Linked DNA regions of Neodiprion lecontei. The main gene of each other region encodes a partner of the protein of the gene in region 2 in a complex. Links are inferred from orthologs where the notes say so. Each region holds a gene or a part of one and is shown on either strand. Other genes may lie near its edges. The genes, in order: negative elongation factor A, negative elongation factor D and negative elongation factor B.

What was found.
Region 1: the proteins of negative elongation factor D (region 2) and negative elongation factor A are in contact, whole or in part, in a crystal structure (PDB 5L3X), measured with the Homo sapiens proteins. The link is inferred for Neodiprion lecontei from reciprocal best matches to the Homo sapiens genes NELFCD and NELFA. Residues at the interface, in XP_047296144.1 of Homo sapiens: Cys204, Gln205, Gln206, Leu207, Glu208, Phe210, Ser211, Leu214, Arg215, Leu218, Ala219, Ile221, Leu222, Asp223, Gly225, Glu226, Cys241, His242, Gly243, Glu244, His245, Thr246, Tyr247, Leu248, Phe249, Ala252, Met253, Ser255, Val256, Leu257; in NP_005654.4 of Homo sapiens: Leu23, Trp24, Ala25, Leu54, Leu58, Leu61, His62, Arg65, Pro88, Trp89, Met92, Val93, Ile96, Leu97, Phe100, Gly104, Ser105, Leu106, Leu108, Leu110, Asn116, Val117, Asp119, Ile120, Leu121, Glu123, Leu124, Arg125, Lys127, Val128.
Region 3: the proteins of negative elongation factor D (region 2) and negative elongation factor B are in contact, whole or in part, in a crystal structure (PDB 8JJ6), measured with the Homo sapiens proteins. The link is inferred for Neodiprion lecontei from reciprocal best matches to the Homo sapiens genes NELFCD and NELFB. Residues at the interface, in XP_047296144.1 of Homo sapiens: Arg63, Ile66, Met67, Glu68, Pro69, Ile71, Phe72, Leu75, Ile89, Gln90, Leu92, Ser93, Tyr96, Thr97, Ala98, Val99, Ala100, Gln101, Thr102, Val103, Asn104, Leu105, Leu106, Trp109, Leu110, Gln112, Thr113, Gly114, Val115, Gln121; in NP_056271.3 of Homo sapiens: Met49, Leu53, Leu56, Val58, Ala59, Asn60, Gly61, Leu64, Lys65, Leu68, Thr69, Leu75, Ile78, Glu79, Phe81, Gln82, Glu84, Asn85, Gly86, Val87, Leu88, Leu89, Ser91, Leu92, Ser94, Ala95, Leu96, Pro97, Phe98, Leu99.

What each region holds. Positions count from the first base shown.
Region 1 is NC_060266.1:9,950,496-9,955,125, forward strand, and holds the start of negative elongation factor A, read right to left. Parts: upstream 3,090-4,630; 5' UTR 3,065-3,089; coding exon 2,855-3,064; intron 627-2,854; coding exon 194-626; intron 1-193. UniProt on the Homo sapiens protein: Essential component of the NELF complex, a complex that negatively regulates the elongation of transcription by RNA polymerase II.
Region 2 is NC_060266.1:4,411,032-4,418,774, reverse strand, and holds negative elongation factor D, read left to right. Parts: upstream 1-1,710; 5' UTR 1,711-1,833; intron 1,834-2,699; coding exon 2,700-2,881; intron 2,882-3,059; coding exon 3,060-3,279; intron 3,280-3,374; coding exon 3,375-3,482; intron 3,483-3,711; coding exon 3,712-3,861; intron 3,862-3,960; coding exon 3,961-4,091; intron 4,092-4,163; coding exon 4,164-4,351; intron 4,352-4,731; coding exon 4,732-4,984; intron 4,985-5,072; coding exon 5,073-5,283; intron 5,284-5,476; coding exon 5,477-5,617; intron 5,618-5,689; coding exon 5,690-5,819; intron 5,820-5,910; coding exon 5,911-5,948; 3' UTR 5,949-6,118; coding exon of another isoform or gene 6,119-6,126; 3' UTR 6,127-6,896; coding exon of another isoform or gene 6,897-6,910; 3' UTR 6,911-7,130; downstream 7,131-7,743. Other genes in the region: protein stunted-like, read right to left, coding at 6,897-6,910. UniProt on the Homo sapiens protein: Essential component of the NELF complex, a complex that negatively regulates the elongation of transcription by RNA polymerase II.
Region 3 is NC_060261.1:556,014-562,873, reverse strand, and holds negative elongation factor B, read left to right. Parts: upstream 1-1,824; 5' UTR 1,825-2,004; intron 2,005-2,055; exon of another isoform or gene 2,056-2,274; 5' UTR 2,275-2,506; coding exon 2,507-2,629; intron 2,630-2,707; exon of another isoform or gene 2,708-2,714; coding exon 2,715-3,191; intron 3,192-3,306; coding exon 3,307-3,474; intron 3,475-3,544; coding exon 3,545-3,670; intron 3,671-3,736; coding exon 3,737-4,006; intron 4,007-4,113; coding exon 4,114-4,404; intron 4,405-4,477; coding exon 4,478-4,678; intron 4,679-4,751; coding exon 4,752-4,904; 3' UTR 4,905-6,322; downstream 6,323-6,860. Other genes in the region: PHD finger protein rhinoceros, read right to left, coding at 1-91, 452-616, 820-908, 1,409-1,436. UniProt on the Homo sapiens protein: Essential component of the NELF complex, a complex that negatively regulates the elongation of transcription by RNA polymerase II.

The DNA.
Region 1 (4,630 bases), about 5.5 Mb from region 2:
GGTGTGTAGGAACAGTATGCTTTCAATGTGATTACTTTGAAGGACTTAATGTTACTCTTTGAATGGCAAAAGCCCAAAAAAAAATCAGAAAAAAAATTGTTACAGCTTATTAGTCATACAGCTAATGGCTCCAACGAAATGTCTAAAATTCAGTATCATTTCAAGTATTAGTTGATAATTAATCTAATCTCACTTGTATCAGTCATTTTCCTGGGCATTCCACGACTTCGTACTGGCACAGTTGGGGCTGCACTTTTTTTCATATTACTAGCTGCATCTGCACTCTTTTGTAACAATTCCGCACGCAGAGCAGCACTCTTGGGTTTCCTCTTGAGTGTGAAATGCTTGATAGATGCTGGCTGCTGCCCAACGACTGATGTCAATGCTGTTTTATTCAAATAGTGGCATTCTAGCGGAAGCATAGCTGCATCACATTGTTTTTTTACCAACTTCCTCAGGTCATTGACTAGTTCACCAAATATTGGACGATGCTCATCAAGATCTGATATGTCAGTGTTCAATGAGCCTGTTGATGGAAATGTTTTCATCGCTTCAGACAGCATCGATACCCATAACTCATTGTCCAGTGATGCTACTTCGATGATTTCTTCCAACTCAATACGCCACTATTTTAAAAAAAAAATGCGTTTACTATGAGTAGTGAAAATATCAAATCAGTGGGGTATTCGAAAACTGCTGAGGCCCATGGTACCATTGATTTTCAAATACATTTCATCAATTTCAGGCAGTTATAAAAAAAATTATAATTTTCCAAAATCGAAGCTGCGGCCGGTGAGTAGGAAAATTCAAAAAATCAGGAAACAATTCGGAAATGTTCCTATTTTCACCCCCGATATAACTTAACCCCAAAAAAAAATAATAAACTCTCCCGAATTGACGAAAACGTTGAATTTTCTAAGTTCAAAGCTGCGGCTGGTGACTAGAAATATTCAAAAAATTATGAAATAATTCAGAAATGTTCCTATTTTCACCCCCAATATAACGCTACAAGTTTCATTAGGGAAAGCGAGAAGATGACTGTGAACATCTGTGTTGAGTGCTGCAACTACTAATCGACAACTGCTAAATCGTCATTGTTTATCAGGAGCTCGTAACTGTCTTGCACATATTTTCACAAATTTCTATGTTTATCCGAGTATTGACACTACTTGACGTATGGTAGAACGTGAGAATCGAAATTTCCAGCTCGGGCGCCCCTGGCCCTTATTCGCCCCTGGATTTCGGAACCTGCGGCTGAAACCTGCAGCTAACTTCAGCGTCGTCCAATAACTGCATCGTTCATCTGATAGTTTCAGTTTTATACTCTGTTATCCGAATAGATGCAATATAAAAGTAACAACGTGTATGTTCGAACAGTAAAATAAGTGCATGCAAGTTACGCGAGAGCCTTACAGGTAAAATTAGGACAAGTGTGAAATCGCTTACACAAATTTCGTCGCTTTTTGTAATTATATCATACACATAAGGTACAAATCAGAGGTTCCAAATTCCGAATGCTCATTCAAACGGTAATCCACTGAAGTTAAAGTTAATATACATTGAGGAAAAAATCAATTTTGTGCAATTTCAGAATAACTTAAATAAAAAATTCATTATATGCTTGTATTTTAATCTACTACAGTTTCCTGAATTCCAAACAATCCTAAAGTTACAAAATAAGGATATTTCCTGAAACTGCATCCTTATAATAACGTTACTAAATTCAATCTCATAAAACTCAAGTAATTTACATCGTTCAAGTCTTCTTGGTACTTTTTCCCACAATTTAAATTATTTACTCATCAATTCATACTAATTGTGGAGAAAACTGTCATGCACACTGAAATCGTTTTGTGAAACAACTAATGTGACATACGGCTGTTAAGATTTTCATTCAAAAGATCGTTTGAAATTTAAAGCACATTACAAATTATACAACTCATGTCTGTTTCAGAGAGTTAGAATTAGTTACAATACTGCGGAGGGAGCAACTTCGTCGAGGCACATAAAATATTGGTGTGAGCAATATATACCTCGGCGTGACTCACATGCAGCCACTTCACCAATGAATTTCCATAGTATAAATAAACACTGTGTCTATTTGCACTACAGAGTGAACTTAGGCAGAATATGCTAAATATGCCAAATGATCGCATGTTAGTAATGTAATCGCATAAGTTTTTTCAAAACATCTGCGGTTTCCGAAGAAATTTTCAAGTGAATGGAATATTTTGGAAATATCATCTCTGAGGGTGACAGACACCGAAAGCGTGTTTCAGACCTCTGGTATATGTTATGATTTTGGATAGTGATAGAATAATATGATTTTTTGAAACTCTACCCGGGGTATAACAGAGATCTAACTTGATTTAGCCTTTATCACTCAATTTTGGCTTGCCACGGATAATCGTTCAGGCACTCAAATATTTTGCAAAACAGTTCGGGACAACTCAACACTTAGTAAGTCCGGAGTGTCCGTTGACGGTTCACTCCATAGTGTGAGTAGACACTTTAATAAATGATATTATCATATACAAATCAAAATGGACATTTTCTCATTGTATAGAATATTTGCACTGACTGAACTGTTGCAAAACTGCAGAAGATTGGCTACCTTTTTCGCAGATAGTTTACACCAGAATTTTCATGCCTAGTAACGGAAAAACAGGAGATATGGTATCAGGTTGAAGAACTACATTTTTGATACAAGTGACAGGCTGGATATAAGAAAAACCGTTGTGACAGATTAAATGAATTGATAAAAAAGATCATTGAACATGGATATCAAGTTCAATTGTGAAAATGGTAACAAAATATGAATACTTATCGACTATTTTATAATAACGATACATACTTCTTCGACATTGCGCCTTTGTAGGTGAAAGAAAGAAAGGAGTAGTTTGAGCTTAACTTGAGTTTGCAAATCCGGAAAGCAATCTTTTATGTTTCGCAAAACTTCGGCGTTTAATTGGGAACAAATTGAGCTGCCAGTCCAGCTATCATTTGACGTGCCGAGCTTATTATGAAGCCACAACGAAGTATCACTATCTCGCACGTTTGCCATATTGAAAATTGTGTAATTAAATTCTGTATGGCCTGAGCCACGATCTTACATACAGGTCTGAAAATCTGGTGCTGGGGGGCGACTCACTTCTTGAATCCGCTTTCAATAATTCTTACATTGGTCGCAAGGGTCGCTGTAACCTAGTACGGTCACCACCACCCGTGTCGCCGCCCTCTCCCCCCCCCCCCCCCCCCTCCCAGCAGCGACGCCAATGAGCGACAGGGATAGAAAAAATTTCTTTCTGTTGTAACATCCGACCGGAACGTCCGTATGTTTTATCGACTATTATTACTGCATGTTACTTTTATCAACTAACCAAACTCAAAGTACGAGAATCTTGTAACCATAAGAAACTAAAACAACTGTCTAACTATTTGGAATATCCCTAGATGGAAATAACTATGAAATTCACTAGCCAAGGCTTAAAAACCATGTTACGAGATCTTCGTACTACCAGAGATGAGTAGGGAGATCTCCAACGCTCGGCTTTTCGTGATACCAGCTAGGTTGGAGCGTCGACGTGACACCTAGGCGGCCACGCACCGAAGGTGGCCCATTTCCGACCTGACACCTAGGCGGCCATGCACTCGGTCGCTCGAGCAAGCGGTTGCCAATCGCATCCTTGTCCCCGCTCGCACAGATGTTTCCAGGAATGCAAGGATTGGGATTTTTTTGTTTCAATTATGAATGTCAGCGAATAAAAGTATCTCCAGATTTGATAAATTTTGGATTCAATTAGCGGACGCTGAACCAAAATAATTAACCATTCCCAGCCCCAATACTTTTTTTTTTTTTTTTTTAATAAATATTATTTTTTTATTGATATGAAAATATGTGACGCCTGGTGTTCTCGAATATTTGTACACGCAGTCTATGGAAAAATATACGAAGCCAGCTCGATAACATTTATGCAAAATGTGCAATGGGCAAGTGGTTGGAGGAAATTTTTTTTTTCTCGAACTGAATCTTCCAGAGAACCATCAGCGAATTCCAAGCAAGCTCCATAAACATACCGAGCAAACGCGCGATCACGGACGTAGCTGTGGTGTGGCTGAGTGGATACCACATGAGGATGAATTTTCAATCACAGGTTCTTGCGCGAAGTTTTCCTGTATTTAAGTTAATTACTGCTGCCTCTGCTATAATACTGCATTCAAGTCTTGAACAAAACACTAAAAAACAAGTTAACCACTTAATGTAAAACAAAATGTTAGATTGAGCTTAAAATTTAAGCCGGAGTTACATAAACTAAGATAATTACAAATGCAATATTGTAAATATTGAACATTTAATGTTCATCTAAATAAATATAGTTTCCTCCTCAAAAAAAAAAAAACATGAGGATGGAGTGATGCGAGACACGGGTTCGATCGCAGTTCACTCTTTTTTTTTTCTTTTTTTTTAAATTCAATCCCGGCTTTTTTTTGTATTTTCGGAGAGAAAAAAAAATCAAAGAAAGAAAATTTCGAGAGCCGGTCGATTTTTTCCTTCTTTCCTTTTGCTTTTTTTTTTACTGAACCCACCTTTTTTGTAGTGGGGGTAACCCGGAAGAGAACAAATAATTGA
Region 2 (7,743 bases):
TTGACGTTTACTGAAATAATCTAATATTCTACTCTACTTTTTTTTCTTTTACTTATAAGGAACAGAACTAGGAAGTATTGTATCTACACAAAGACTCGGTAAATTTAGATCAACTTTTGTAACATTAAACAATAATTTCTATGCCATTTTTTAAACTTTCAATTGTTTTAATGGAAATTTTTATAGTTTTTTTGTATTTCTCAAATTGTCAGTGGTTTAGAATCAACTATTTGTTTTGCATTGATTGCCATTTAATGCAACTTCATATCGATAATTTGATTATCAAGTTCAATCTGATTATTTTAGAAATTACAGATCTATGAAGTTTGTCTTGGTGTGGCAGCTGGATACAATAAACACCTGCTAAGAATGTTATCAATGCGAGTGATAAGACTGCTAGCTCTGTTTGAAACGTGGCAACAAAGGTATCAATACCAAATCACATCCTACAACTAGTTTTGGCTTCCTAAGTAGGTACTTATAGCACACTGGAGGTTTTCAATCGCCTTGCAAGATAGTTGATCCAATTTCTGATTCCTTAAGATCTGATTTAACATATGGAACGAATGATATGGTTTAAGCTGTGCGTTGAAGTACCTTAAAGATTGTTTTTTAATACAAATTAATTAGACGTCATGAATGAAAAACCGTTTGTGCGAATTTTTCGATTAATCAGAAATGGTCATATTTTTGTACTACGTGCCGTTTGAATTTTCTTTCATCTAGTTCCAAGTTTTCGTATTTATGCAGTAATTTGAAAAAACTAGAGATTTACATCAATATGTGAAAATTTGTACACTTTTCGTTTTTTCACTGCGTTAGTTACATTCATGAAAACATTGCCACTACCCTTATAAAAATGATTAGAAATTGGGACGTTCACCTTGAATTAAATTTCATTGAAACCAGGTGGAAAACTTGTAGAATTGTATATATCAATCACTGTATTTATACGTATAAAAATACCTACGTGTTTTATAGTTGACTTGATCAAATGGCCATGTCGTTCCGTTGCGCGATTCTTTACAACTGGAAAAATTGAACACTTAATTGATGCAACCGAGAGGATGATGGGAGACTGAACTGTCAGAAATATTTTTGACATCTAGGAATATTCAGTCGATACACCCTTTGAATTCAGTACTGTGAGAAGCACAGTACGCACCAGTTCTTTGACGACGAACGATCACAACAACTCGATTACACCCAGTCTTACATAAAAAAAAGCTTACATGACGAATACGGGGAATCCAATTATACTGAAAAATTATTAATGAGGTTATGATCGATGTATCATTGCTCGGGACGATGCAGAACCGCGCGCACCAAGCGCAAATGACAACTGAAACTGAACGCGCGCGTCGACCCAGCGAGAACTGAAATTTGAATTTGCACTTGGCGTCCGCTGAATAATCGAATTGCACAAGAGCGTCATCGGGTTGCATTTCGTCGACCCTGCATTGTGTTGAAACAAAAAAACTCACCGGAGGTTATGTAGTAGTTCTATTTTATTGACCGAGTCACTTCAATTTATTCTCCAACTTCATCATTTTTACTAGATCAGGTTTCTCAAATATGATAACATCCTGAATATTTTCTCAAAAATATCTTATATAAACGTTTCTGCTGAAAATTAGCTTGTAATATGTTTCTTTATTATCAATAACGTGTCTACCTACTTATATGTGTTCAAAATTTCCCTCTATTTTTTTTCGTTAGAAAATGGCGGCCAAGATCGAGGCGATTAACTGGAAGCTCACTCAGCTCACTGCTGTACAGATCCATAACAAGAATTTGTGAGGGAAACGCTTGATACGATTTGACGCGCGAGATGTAAGAATCTTCATTTTATCCAGTAAAAGTCTATCAATTTTCTATCTATACGTCTAGAGATATAGACATATTCCTACTGCAACCGGACGTGTGATTTTCTCCGGATTACTGTCTATTTTCTCTACATTGCAGCTACTTTTCATCATCAAATACATTTCTAACCTCAAATTTGATGATAGCTTTAGCTTGAAAATTGCCGTTGACTTGTTGTGAAAACACCACAGCGTTAGTTAATACAATCTTTCATTTCTTGTTTATTAATGCCACCATTTCTTCTTGCAAGTTAATTTATTGCACCTCAGTTTTCACGTATCGCTCGCAATGGTTATTTGCATTTCCTTTTGACTGACAATTATCTGTTACAAACCCTTAAATAATCTTAGAAACTTCAATCCAAAGGAGTTGAGTAAATCTTAGGACATTCTTGATTGAAATTAGGCAATTACTTGTGCCAGTATACTTTAAGTACACGGGTAATGCTAGCTCTAAAGCTAATTGTCAAGTTACATATTTTAGCTTTATTGTACTGTTAGTGATGCTTTTTGGAATTTAAAAAATTTGAGCAACCATTCATCGCTAACAATGCAAAGAAAACTTGGCGTTGACTTAAACATTGTCCCTAATCCCATATGAAACTATAGAACCTACTCTTCACCTATAATTTCTCCAAAATTATGTATATTTTATTTATTGCATATGTACTTGAGGAAACATGTCCTATCTAAACATATATTCATATTTTTTTAATTGTTCGAAATTCTCTCAGCGAAGTAACAAGTATAAAGTCCAGATACGTTGAATTTTAATTTCTATTAAATATCGAATAACCAAATAGCTATCTGTCAATAAAGTGTTTAATATTCTAGATGGAGACTGATTATGATGAGGATCGAGGAGGATGGGGAGACGACATGGGTAGAGGTGGCCCAGACGATTTTGGAGGTGACGATGGAACAGATAATCCTCAAGATGTTCTTAAAGAATGTTTGGACAAGTTTAAAACGCCGGACTACATCATGGAGCCTGGTATATTCACTCAGTTGAAACGGTAAGACTAGCAAACCGAGAGGTCATTGAATTTACAATTCCTATTTAATTTTGTTTTTTGCTTCATTTTGGTATATTTGTATTTATCTGTTCTTACGATTGGTTATTTACACAAGACCAAGCCTATCCACACTTGGTGAAGCATATGAAAATCATCTCAATTGAGTATTTTCTTTCAGATATTTCCAAGCAGGCGGTAATCCCGAACAAGTTATTGAATTATTGTCTCAAAATTATACGGCATGTGCTCAGATGGCAAATCTTCTGGCCGAATGGTTAATTCTTGCTGGTGTAAAAGTAACGGATGTACAAGCTATGGTAGAAAATAATCTCAAAGACATGATTCTTAAAACGTTTGATCCAAAAAAGGCTGACAAAATTTTCACTGAGGAGGGTGAAGTGAGTTATAATTTTTTTTCCAAATTTCATTCGTGCTTAGTTTCAAAATCTTGAAATGTATCATTTTGTAAATAAATTTCTGTTCTACTTTACAGACTCCAGCCTGGTTAACAGAGATGATACAACATCCTACTTGGCGTTCACTGATTTATAGACTTGCTGAAGAATATCCTGATTGCTTGATGTTAAATTTTACCATAAAAGTGAGTAATCATAATTATATTTCATTAGAACATTTAAAATATTTATTTACCTGCTAATAAGTTTGTTAAAGCTTCCCAGTATTTCATAATTGATATTGTGATAGTTATTCCTTGCGCAAAATTGCTGTTTGCACGAATTGCTACTATACATAATTGATGTAAAAATATCATGTATACTCTACATAGCAAGTTATCAAATAATCCATTTCCATTACGACATTTCTCTTAGCTTATATCTGATGCTGGATTCCAAGGAGAAATAACAAGCATTTCAACAGCTGCACAACAAATAGAAGTATTCTCGAGAGTATTAAAAACTGCCATTGCAGGATTCCTTCAAAATACCGAGGACTGGCAATCTAGCATACAGGAATGTGCCGTAAGTTGTTCCTCATAATAAGAATAAAAGAAGTAACATTTTTTTCAGACCGCCAAAAATCATAAACATCACTCATGATCCATAAAATTTTACTTACAGAAAATGGTTTGTCATGGGCAACATACATATGTGTACAGTCAAGTATTGTTACAAATTTTAGCACAAGAACCTCGGGGCGGTTTTACAATGAAACGACTTTCACAAGAGATTACGAAGTGCGCTCAACAGAAGTAAGAAAAATCATTCAGTTTTATTTGTGGTTAATGTGATCTACTGGTACATGACAACGAATACGTTTTCAGCCGTCACGATGTAACTCCCATAACAATGGCATTAAACGGAGCAGCTGGTAGTCCAAGCGCTTGTCAAGCCTTAGGTTCGATGTTATCACGAAATACTTTGAATCCGGCTGATATAACAGTATTGTTTAGGAATTACTCCAACCCAGAACCTCCTCCGGTTGAATTAATTCGGAATCCTCAATTTTTAGGTAAATATTCAATTGTCTAATTCTGTTATTCTCCCTTAAAAATCGTACTAGTTATAAAAAAAAAATAAGACTGATAATTACGGAATACAGATAGTTATGGAAGCTGTAAAAATCGCATATTTAGAAATCTTCCAAGTTTGACAAAATTTTATTGGTTCTAGAAAAGTTTTGAAATGTGTGAAAAAGTTTGAACTGAACTAAAAATGTTTTATGAGTCACATATAATGGCAAGGTAGCAATACATTTTTGGCATTTAGAAACTCTGTAAAAATTGGAAGGTTTTAGTAAAAATTGAAGTCGGTCGATTGAAGAAAATCTATTTTTCTGTGAATCAGGACAATTTTATTTTACTATATTCATTGTCGTATAATATTCTACAGAATTATTGGTTGATGCTCTATTTAAGCCAGGAGTAAAGGTAAACCCAGAGCATAAATCAAAGTATATTAACTTGCTGGCATATGCAGCTAGTGTTTGCGAAACACCAGCCAAGAAGGGAACACAACGAAAGATCAACAAAGATGAATTAAAAACCACGATGCAAGCCATCGAGAAAGTTCATAACATTTGCAATATTAATAAAGGTTCAACTGAACTGATAGCCGAGTTGAACACGTTGTATCAGTGCATTAGGTAAGCACAATCTGAGCTCAAAGCAATCATACGCTTCGTAATTCCAAAACGATTGATTGGTAGAAAACTATAAAATGTGTAATTACAGATTTCCAGTGGTGAGCGTTGGTGTGATCAGATGGGTTGCATGTACGGTAACAGAACCATCGTATTTTAAATTGAGCACAGAACACTGTCCTATACATTTGGCTCTTCTGGACGAGGTTGTAGCCTGTCATCCTCTCTTACATCCAAAAGTGCTTCAACTCTTGGTGCAGTTATTTGAGAGCAAACAGGATGAACTCGAAATACTTGTTCAGGTGAATACCTAGTTACCAGTTGTTATATTTTTATCGCATAATACTATTACCTAAATTTAGACATTTTTAGTATCTGTGTGAAATTACAAGTTTCTAGAGCAAGGCAGACTTCCCACAGTTTCACAGTTTGCAAGCCTCTTCCTATAAACGATTATTGCAAGACCCAGTATTTGACAAACTTATAATATTTCAGTTGGAGATGAAAAAGATGCTGATAGACCGAATGGTCAATTTATTGAGTCGAGGATGTGTTGTCCCTGTTGTATGCTATATTAAGCAGTGCTGGCAACGCAGTGACACTGACGTTTCCCTTATTAGATATTTTGTCACCGAGGTAAGCACCGATTTGGCTTTTCCAGCAATCTGTGTTTTTTATATTTTTACTAAATCTGTATCTGCATTTTAGGTTTTAGAGGCTATTGCACCACCATACACTCCGGAATTTATCCAACTATTTTTACCTATGGTGGAAGATGATGAGATAACAGGCACGATGCGTGGCGATGGTGATAACGACCTTGTTTCTGAGTTCATAGGTTCGTTGGCCCAACATTACATCATCAAATTGAATACCATCAAAGTGTTACTCTTTACACAGTGTTGTACTATTCATTTCATTGTTTTCAGTTCACTGCAAGGCACACAGTGGCACAGCTGTGAGATGACGGTTAAAGAACAGAGACGCCAGTGCTCATGGAGAACCGAAAGAATAAATTTACCGGTTGTGTGAAGATGTGTTTATTTTACATAACAACTGGTATAATCATACATGAATTACTCTTAATCAACCCGCATTCATCAGGTGAACTGCCCTATGGTGCCACAATGTTGTAGTTTATTGCTCTGAAACAAAGTTATTCATTTTAAACAGAAATTAGTTAATTCAAGTTTTTTTTTTTTTTGAATATTTATTAGTTTATCATACTATTGATTAGTAATATGATGGCAGTAGAGTGTCATCTACTTGACTGACAGGATCAGGCTACTTCGACTATTCGATCATGACAAGGACTTTCTACTCTCTGTCAACTATTATGCACATGATCCACTACACGCAAGAGCGATATAATAGGATAATAAGACCAATGGCGGAGACTAAGAGTCCAATAGTCAAGACGTAGCCTGGTCAGATGGCTGTATACAGCTGCGAAATAACTGGAACTTAGGTAAAGATTTTACCACCGTACAATAAAATGAACATGTTAAACTTTTACTGAAGTTGAAATAAATCATACCGATTTTTCAAAAAATTATTCAGTCTATCTTAGTCATAACTCTCAGTCTGTGCATAATTAGGGCTTCGTTCGTTTTAGGGAAAAAATTCAATTCTCAACCGATATTGCATGCCTTCAAATGGTATTAATTCAATAATCAATTGTTGATTGTTTGGACAAAAGGATTAGTTGCTTAAAATCTTGAATCAGATGGTTAGTTTTCACGAAATTGTAATCAAGTCCCATGCGTGATTAATAATGAAACATAGATACTTGTAAATGATTAAAATAATTATTATTATAACACATCAGTTCACACTTTCACAACATTTCAAAATGCAAGTACTTGCGTTTTTTGTTTTATCACACTTGAAACTATAAACTTACGTATTGATGACTTTAGTATTTATCGGCTGTAAAAGGTACAAAATTACTCAGATAATAGAAATCAGAAATATTAAAATTAAGGGTCACATTTTAGTATTTTGTGAAAATCTTTGGAGTACATCTGAACTTTTAATCCTTCAACTGCTATGATTGAATCAAAAGGCAAAGCTTCGAATCGGTCACGGATTTCTAAAGTATATTGTTAACCCATTGCAATATTCATTTATGAATAAAGATGAGAGGCATCATGAGGAACGAAAAAAAGTAAGGATGCAATTTGTAACTAAAAAAGATATTCGTAGCTATATTTTACAGTGAATAAAAATGGATTTCTTACTTATAGTGAAATTAGCTCATTGGCCAAAGTCATGAGGTCAAAATAAATGAATAAAAATGCAAGAAATCATTTGGATGATTTTTAAATTACAAAACTGGATTACCAAACTATTTCAATGAATTTTTAGAATAAATTGAACTGTTCAAACTGGAAATTTTACTAAAGTATTGTAACTATACAAAACAGGACTGATTGTTCCATATTCCAAGTGAACTGTTTTTTTATTAATTGGAATACTAAGAGAATTGTGTGACTGCCGTAGTTAAGAAACCCAATAAAACGTGATCAAAATCTATGAAAGCCGAACCGAATTGTATTCAATATAATCAATTGGTAAATTCATGTGCAGCCTTTGTATTGCCAAAAAAAAAAAATCAATTGGAATTAACGACTCTTCTCTGGGTCAAATTGTGTTTATTAAATATTTGTGTATACGAAGTAGACGAATATGAGCAAAATCATTAAGTTAATTTTGATTGCCATTCAAATAAGAAATATCTTAAACAAATTTGATTAACCAGA
Region 3 (6,860 bases), on a different chromosome or scaffold from region 2:
CACAGAGAGCCCGAAGAATTTCTACCTTTTGGCGTAGTGGCAAAAGCTCAAAGTCTACATCCGTATTGAAAGGATTATCTCTTCCATATTCCTGTAATGAAAGATAGCTCATAAATTCTGTTCAGTTGTATAACCTGTAGACTCCAAAATATTTTGAAGAGAAAGTGTACATCAAATTTTCAATTACATTGACAGTAATTGTCTAGCACCCTGGATAAAATTGATAAAGCTTATGAAACGAGTAAATTCAAAAGTAGCACAGTCAGGCTCTCACTTTTTTGGTACTAGTTACTTTATTTACTCGTTGAATATATTATTGTACTATCAATCGGAGTACTGTTCACAAGACTGATTTAGATGGTGTAGTTCATATCAGAAATGAGGAATTGGTCTTTCAGACATCAAATTTTAATGTACATACTCTAATCTACTTTGGAAGCTAGACACTCACTTGACACTTTTTTCTAAAGAGTCTACGGAGGAACATCTGATAATTAAAAGTAGAGATGTCATTGCGAGTGTCATTTGGTAGACAGCCTTCAAGTAATCTGACAATTAGTTCTTGCAATAGCCGGCCTTCTGTACCGCCGTCTGTGAGAAGAGCTTCTTCCAAATCCTGGAAGAAAAATAAGTGCAAATATTTCCATTTTCTATTAATGAATCATTTCAAAGAACAGAATTAGACAGAACGATTATGATGATAGAAATTGAGTTTAACCAAACAGGAAATCCTGCCTCAAGAAACAATTATAGTAAAATTCTATAAATTCTATTTGATTTAGCTAATTCGATACACGACTTTTGCATTGAACTAGATACCTCGATGTCAAAGTCCAGCAGATTGAAGGCAGCCCTAAACAATGAGCAGAAATGTGCGATACTTGGCACCTCCCACCACGATTGAATGTCTGGAGACAGAAACAAGCGAGTAAAAAATTTGCAGCAAGTTTTTAAATAACACAAGATTGGTTATTCAACTCTGGAGGTTTCAGGAAATTGTAAAACGTTGAGTCGACCAGGTATGATTGGAAAACTGACACATATCTAGCGGCACATCCAGTAGAAAGTAGAACACATCATTGATTCTAGTTACAGTTTGGTAAACGCTGTTCAAACTACTACGATTGACACAGGCACGATTCACTTATCATCACATCTGTCACTGGAAGATTCTTTCTCGTTTTGAAGGTAGAACAAAAAAAAAAAAAAAAGGAAAACAAAATAAGTGAACATTAGAAATGTGCGGATTTCATTTCGCGCTCAGTCGTTTTGAAATGCAAGTTCTGTGTTTATTCTCGACTGGATAACACTAATTGATTCCGGTAAAATGCGTCCGATTTTTGGTTATCCTGTCGGTTGGTACGCGGCGATGCTAAACTGAAGTTGGCTTCGGATATATTGGGCTCACCTAAAATCCCGATGAAAGTCGGAAACATAACCTGTCGAGGAAGGCAGACGGGTGCCACCACCCCAGTAAACGGAATTCCACCCCACAACAGCAGCCAGCAGCAGCAGCAGCAGCAGCAGCAGCAGAAAGAACGATCGCTCGACCGATCGGTTTTTGCGTCCAATGCACTTTTGAATTGGTATAAATTTTACACAGATAAGACATCGGGAACGGCGAACATGCTAATTGAGTAACTCGCGTTTCTACGTATATCAATTCAGCGTGACATTGTTGTATCGTACTTGTTCAACCTGTTTAAAGTTAGAAAAAAAACGAATTTATTTTCGCTTAGTACCCCGTTGTTGCAACCTGACGCGCGCGACACTTGCGGCCATCACGTTGCATTACTGCCAAATATACTAGGAGAATCAAAGACAGGAGCGAGATCAAAAATACGCGGTCAAAATTTACTATAAATGGGCGCGCAATCGAGCTGATTCATCTTTTTAGCATATCATTTTTTACACGATTACCAGCAACGCTACAAACAATCATAAAAAGTGTCGCGGCTTTTAAATTTAGCGTCACAAGTTTGAATTTGACTGACAATTGTAGAGGTATAGTATGATATCCTTGTATACATATAAATATAGCTAGACCGTTGACGACCGACTAGACTATAGTCAACTATAGTGCGTCGCAGTGCGTCGGATCAGATAAATAATTTCCATGTCTATTGAGTTGCTTATTTGTTGGTGAATGCTAGACGCCTTATAGGCCATTCATTTCCGTAACATATGTATATAAAACTGCGATACTTTCAGTAAAATACCCGGTAATACCGATTTCTAATTTTTCGGTATTGATACGAATTTTATATTCAACAGGAAGACGGCACAACAATCTTGGAAAGAAGAAAGACTAGTCATTCATAATTCTACTGTTGTAAACAATTGTCGTTGTCCTGCCAGCCGCCAATGTACAACCGTCAAACGTGGTTCAACGCTCAGCTTTGAACAGTTCTGTATTTATTTAGGTTAGGATAGGTTAGGTTAAGTCGGTTTGAATACAGAACCGCTGTCCCTTGATGGAAACACCGTATATTTGTGGGCTGTGAAAATGAGTGCGACCAAAAGTACGGAGGGTACGGGATTAGAGGATCTCGGAGTTCCAGGCCAAGTGTTTCTCAGAGATGCTCTGACCAGTTGCACCGATCCCCTGAAAGCCATTGAGGAGTTCCAGGTAAATACTCGGCGCTATTGTTGACTGGTTAAATCAAGCGATTACAATCTTGGCATGAGTATACTTACTAATCCGAAGATTCCAGTTAGAAAATGGTATTCTATTGCCTTCGTTACGTCCAATGTTACCGCTATTGGACCTCCACGGCGTCAGAAGGCTGGACTTTCACGCCTCGGTATTAGAAGAGCTTAGAGAAAAACTTGTGAAGCGGATAGCCGAGATTGGGGCTGAGCGAGGGGAAAAGGGGGGAAGCGACCGTAGGCTTAAGGATCTGTTGGCCAAGAGCTTTCCTGCCGTTAGAGTTGCCGCGCTCAGGCCAGTCGTTATGTGTATTTTAAGAAATACCCCTCATATCGATGACAAATACCTACGAGTACTGGTTAGGGAAAAGGAACTTTACAATGACGCTGACACGGAGGTGAAACGACAGATCTGGAAGGACAATCAAAGTCTTTTCGGAGATGAGGTATCGCCTCTTTTCAGTCGCTACATCATTGAAAAGGAACAAGTTTTGTTCGATCATCGGAACCTGAATGCCTTATTTTTTTCACCATCGCCCAAGGTTAGTTCTGATTGTGTTTAATTCGGACCAATACGTTTATTATCAGCTATTCAGTTCGAACTTGCTTCCTAACATTCCCCAAGTTGACTTGAACAAATCTTGGTCTAATTCGAAGGTGAGGAGACAAGGAGAAGTGGTACAGAAGCTGGCACACATGATAGGTCACAGCGTGAAACTTTACGACATGGTACTCCAATTTCTCAGGACTCTTTTTTTACGAACTAAGAATATCCATTACTGTACTCTTCGGGCTGAGTTGTTGATGGCACTGCATGATCTAGAGGTTTGAATCAAAAATATCATTGTATCAATTTCTCTTCAAATTAATGAAACAACTGATGATTGGTCTCTAGGTTCAAGATATAATATCTGTAGATCCATGCCACAAGTTTACTTGGTGCTTGGATGCTTGCATCAGGGAGAAAAACGTGGATGTGAAAAGGTCTCGAGAACTACAAGGATTTCTTGATAGCATCAAGGTACGATAGCAAGAAACTATAATTTCAAGCAACGACCAATAAAAATGGATCATTTTTTTTGCACAGAGAGGCCAGGAGCAAGTACTTGGGGATCTCAGTATGACACTGTGTGACCCATACGCCGTGAATTTTCTAGCTAGTAGCGCAATAAAAATAGCTCTTCATCTAATTAACGGGGAAGCTCTGCCACGGGATAACGCTGTCCTTGTTCTACTTCTGAGAATGCTGGCCCTGGGCTTGTCAGCCTGGCAAATGATCGACTCCCAAGATTTTAAGGAGCCGAAACTTGACAGTCAAGTTGTGACGAAGTTTCTGCCAGCACTTATGTCTCTCATGGTTAGTCTGATACTTGATATACGATTTTCCTTGACTCTATATTAATTTTGCAACTGAAACCTTAGTATTACCAAACTGCCGTAACAAATTAACTCCTTTCAAAATAGGTAGATGATCAGATAAGACAATTAAATGGAAAGCTCCCACCAGATGAAAGGGAAAGTGCTATCGCTATTATTGAGCACTCTGGACCACCTCCAGATGCATGTCAAGCTTACGCTCAACTTTCTGGAGTTGCAGCTGTTTTATCCATGTATCACGCTTTATACGTTGGCGGAGGTGGAAGTGGGAGTAGCGGAAGAGCTCGAGGTGATGCGAGAGGCTTAATGCGGGTCTTGGCAACGCTACCAAATTGCCAGGCGCATCGCGCTTTTGAGGATCCATTTTTACACACTCTGGTGAGTTGACAAGTGTCGAGAATATGTTGCACCTGACTGTTACAACGAAATAATCAATCTGCTCCTGGCAAAGGTATCTCTGCTGATCTTAAATATGGCTGATGAGTTTTCCGGTGAATCATTTTGCACCGTCATATTCGACGAATTCTTCCTGGCAGGATTAACAAGGGACAATGTTACGCGACACCTCTTGAAACTTTTATGGTACATTCATCCCAAACTTCCTCCGGCACGATTACATTCCCTGATGAAAGCCTTGCAGCCCAATAGCCAGGTAGGTCTCACGTTACTGGAGTTTCATCGTTAACGTCAATGTCACTTATTTATAAAACTATTATAATTTACAGCACAACGAAGCTGTGCATAGTCTCTATCAATCTCTCCGAGAAAAAATTGGCAGCCAATCAACAGAAGATCTTTTGATATCGTCAACTTCTATGGATACACTTGAATGCCCTGATTCACCACTAGATGTTGTCCCTACACCTGGGCCTCGTTAACTATTTTACATCGACAATAGGATTTTACGGGGTATGCGATGTATTTAGAGTTTTATCATTATACACAAATTAGAATGTATCGCAATTCAATATCAGAATAGAATGTATTAAGAAGCACCTTGATTCAGATGTGTTTTCAATAGATGATAGGCATTTTTATTATTTACTTCCAATGACTTCCTTTAAGGATATCACTAATGTGGAAACAACACTTGTAGCGTGTACAAATACATCGTACATATTTTTTTAATGGTACCATGTCTGACCCATGATATGGTACGTCACCTTGCGTATCCGTATGATTTAAGGCCAAAATGAAACTGTTTAGCGTATCACCCTTTGCCTTTAATCACGGAATCCCTCTTTTCCCCCACTGAAAATTGAATATGATCACAAATGTATCATCAACTGTCAGAAATAACGTGGGTTATCAAAATAATTAGAAAACAATTTTATTTCACAATTTTCATTGCGTGCATCAAGTTGTGTTGAGAATAGTTATCACCTACATTTCGCAATTTACACTTATATGCGATGAACATAACAGAAAATAAAACAGTTGAACGTTCACAAAAATATTCGATTCATTCAAAAATTTGTCTGCCCCATGTCTTATATTTCAACGTCATTACGATGGAATAAAGAAGAAAGGGTTTCGAGGTAATTTCAATGTATACCAATTGTCTATTCAGTTAAATCATAGTTGTCACAATGGTTCTTCGATAATCCGAAATTATTAACATCGGACTGCAAATATTGGGCTCAACCCTTGATACGCTAAAATTATAAGCTGCAAACCCAATGTTATCAGGTGCAAATTTATTTTCGATATAACGTTACTTTTTACGACCAAACGTGCGACTAAATCGAACAGAAATATTGTACATATTTCCTATTCCAATTAATGTTACTGAAGTTTTTGCACTCCCTAACTGTATCAAGTCATGTTACATACCTATATTTTCAATTTATTTTCTTCTTTCCGCTACTAAAATTGGATTTGTCAATATTAGTTTCATTATAATATTTTTAACGTAGAAATGGAGAGTTACTCTGTATCAATCATGTCCACGGAAATCTGTAAGCGCTGTGAAGAATATCATGACATGCTTGTTTGATTACCAACATTTCCAACTTTGACTAAATCGAGGTTGCTTTACAGTACGTTAAAAATATTACCTAAATTGCAACCAAATTCAGAGCGTTTATCCTCTACATATCAGTTGTCATGTACATTATAATTGCAATTAGGTATGTGGATGCAAATAATTTCTACTGAGGGCAGATTAATCGTAAATAAAACATCAAAGGGAAAATGGAAATGTATGTCTCTCTAAATGCCTTAAAACTGCATATTTAGGTATACTTGTATTCACTGCAACGAATTTGCCATTTGGCAAAGTTTCACATCCTATATAGGTAATAAGGAAAAATTGTAGAACTAACTTTATGTAGTTTTCACTATTAACAGCCACTGCCATGCAACCCGTAGTAAATAATAACTAAATCTCTACGATGTACGTGGATGAACACGTGCGTGCGTGTCCAAAGATAAAAAGTCATTAATAGCTACTGTAAATAATTCTTATAAGTAAGAATAGTACATTATGTAACAAGGACATAAAGTCCAATTATTCCCATGGTAAAATGACTCCATAATTTTTAAAAATTTTTTAATCCATTGTAATGTGATGTGAAACGTTTAATCGAATTACATGGCTCTGTCATCAAATGACGCAATATATTTTGTACTGAGTATTAAATAATTTGTGAGAAAATTTATCATATGCGAGGAGTTGAACTAATCTATCGATAGTTGTCACAATTAAGCGATTTTAAATCGAAACGAATGTTTATTACAGTATATTAAAGAACAAATTGTACCTCAGTGATGATATTACGTTACATACACAAGTAAAATATCACTGCTACTTTAGTAACGAAAAGATCACTTGC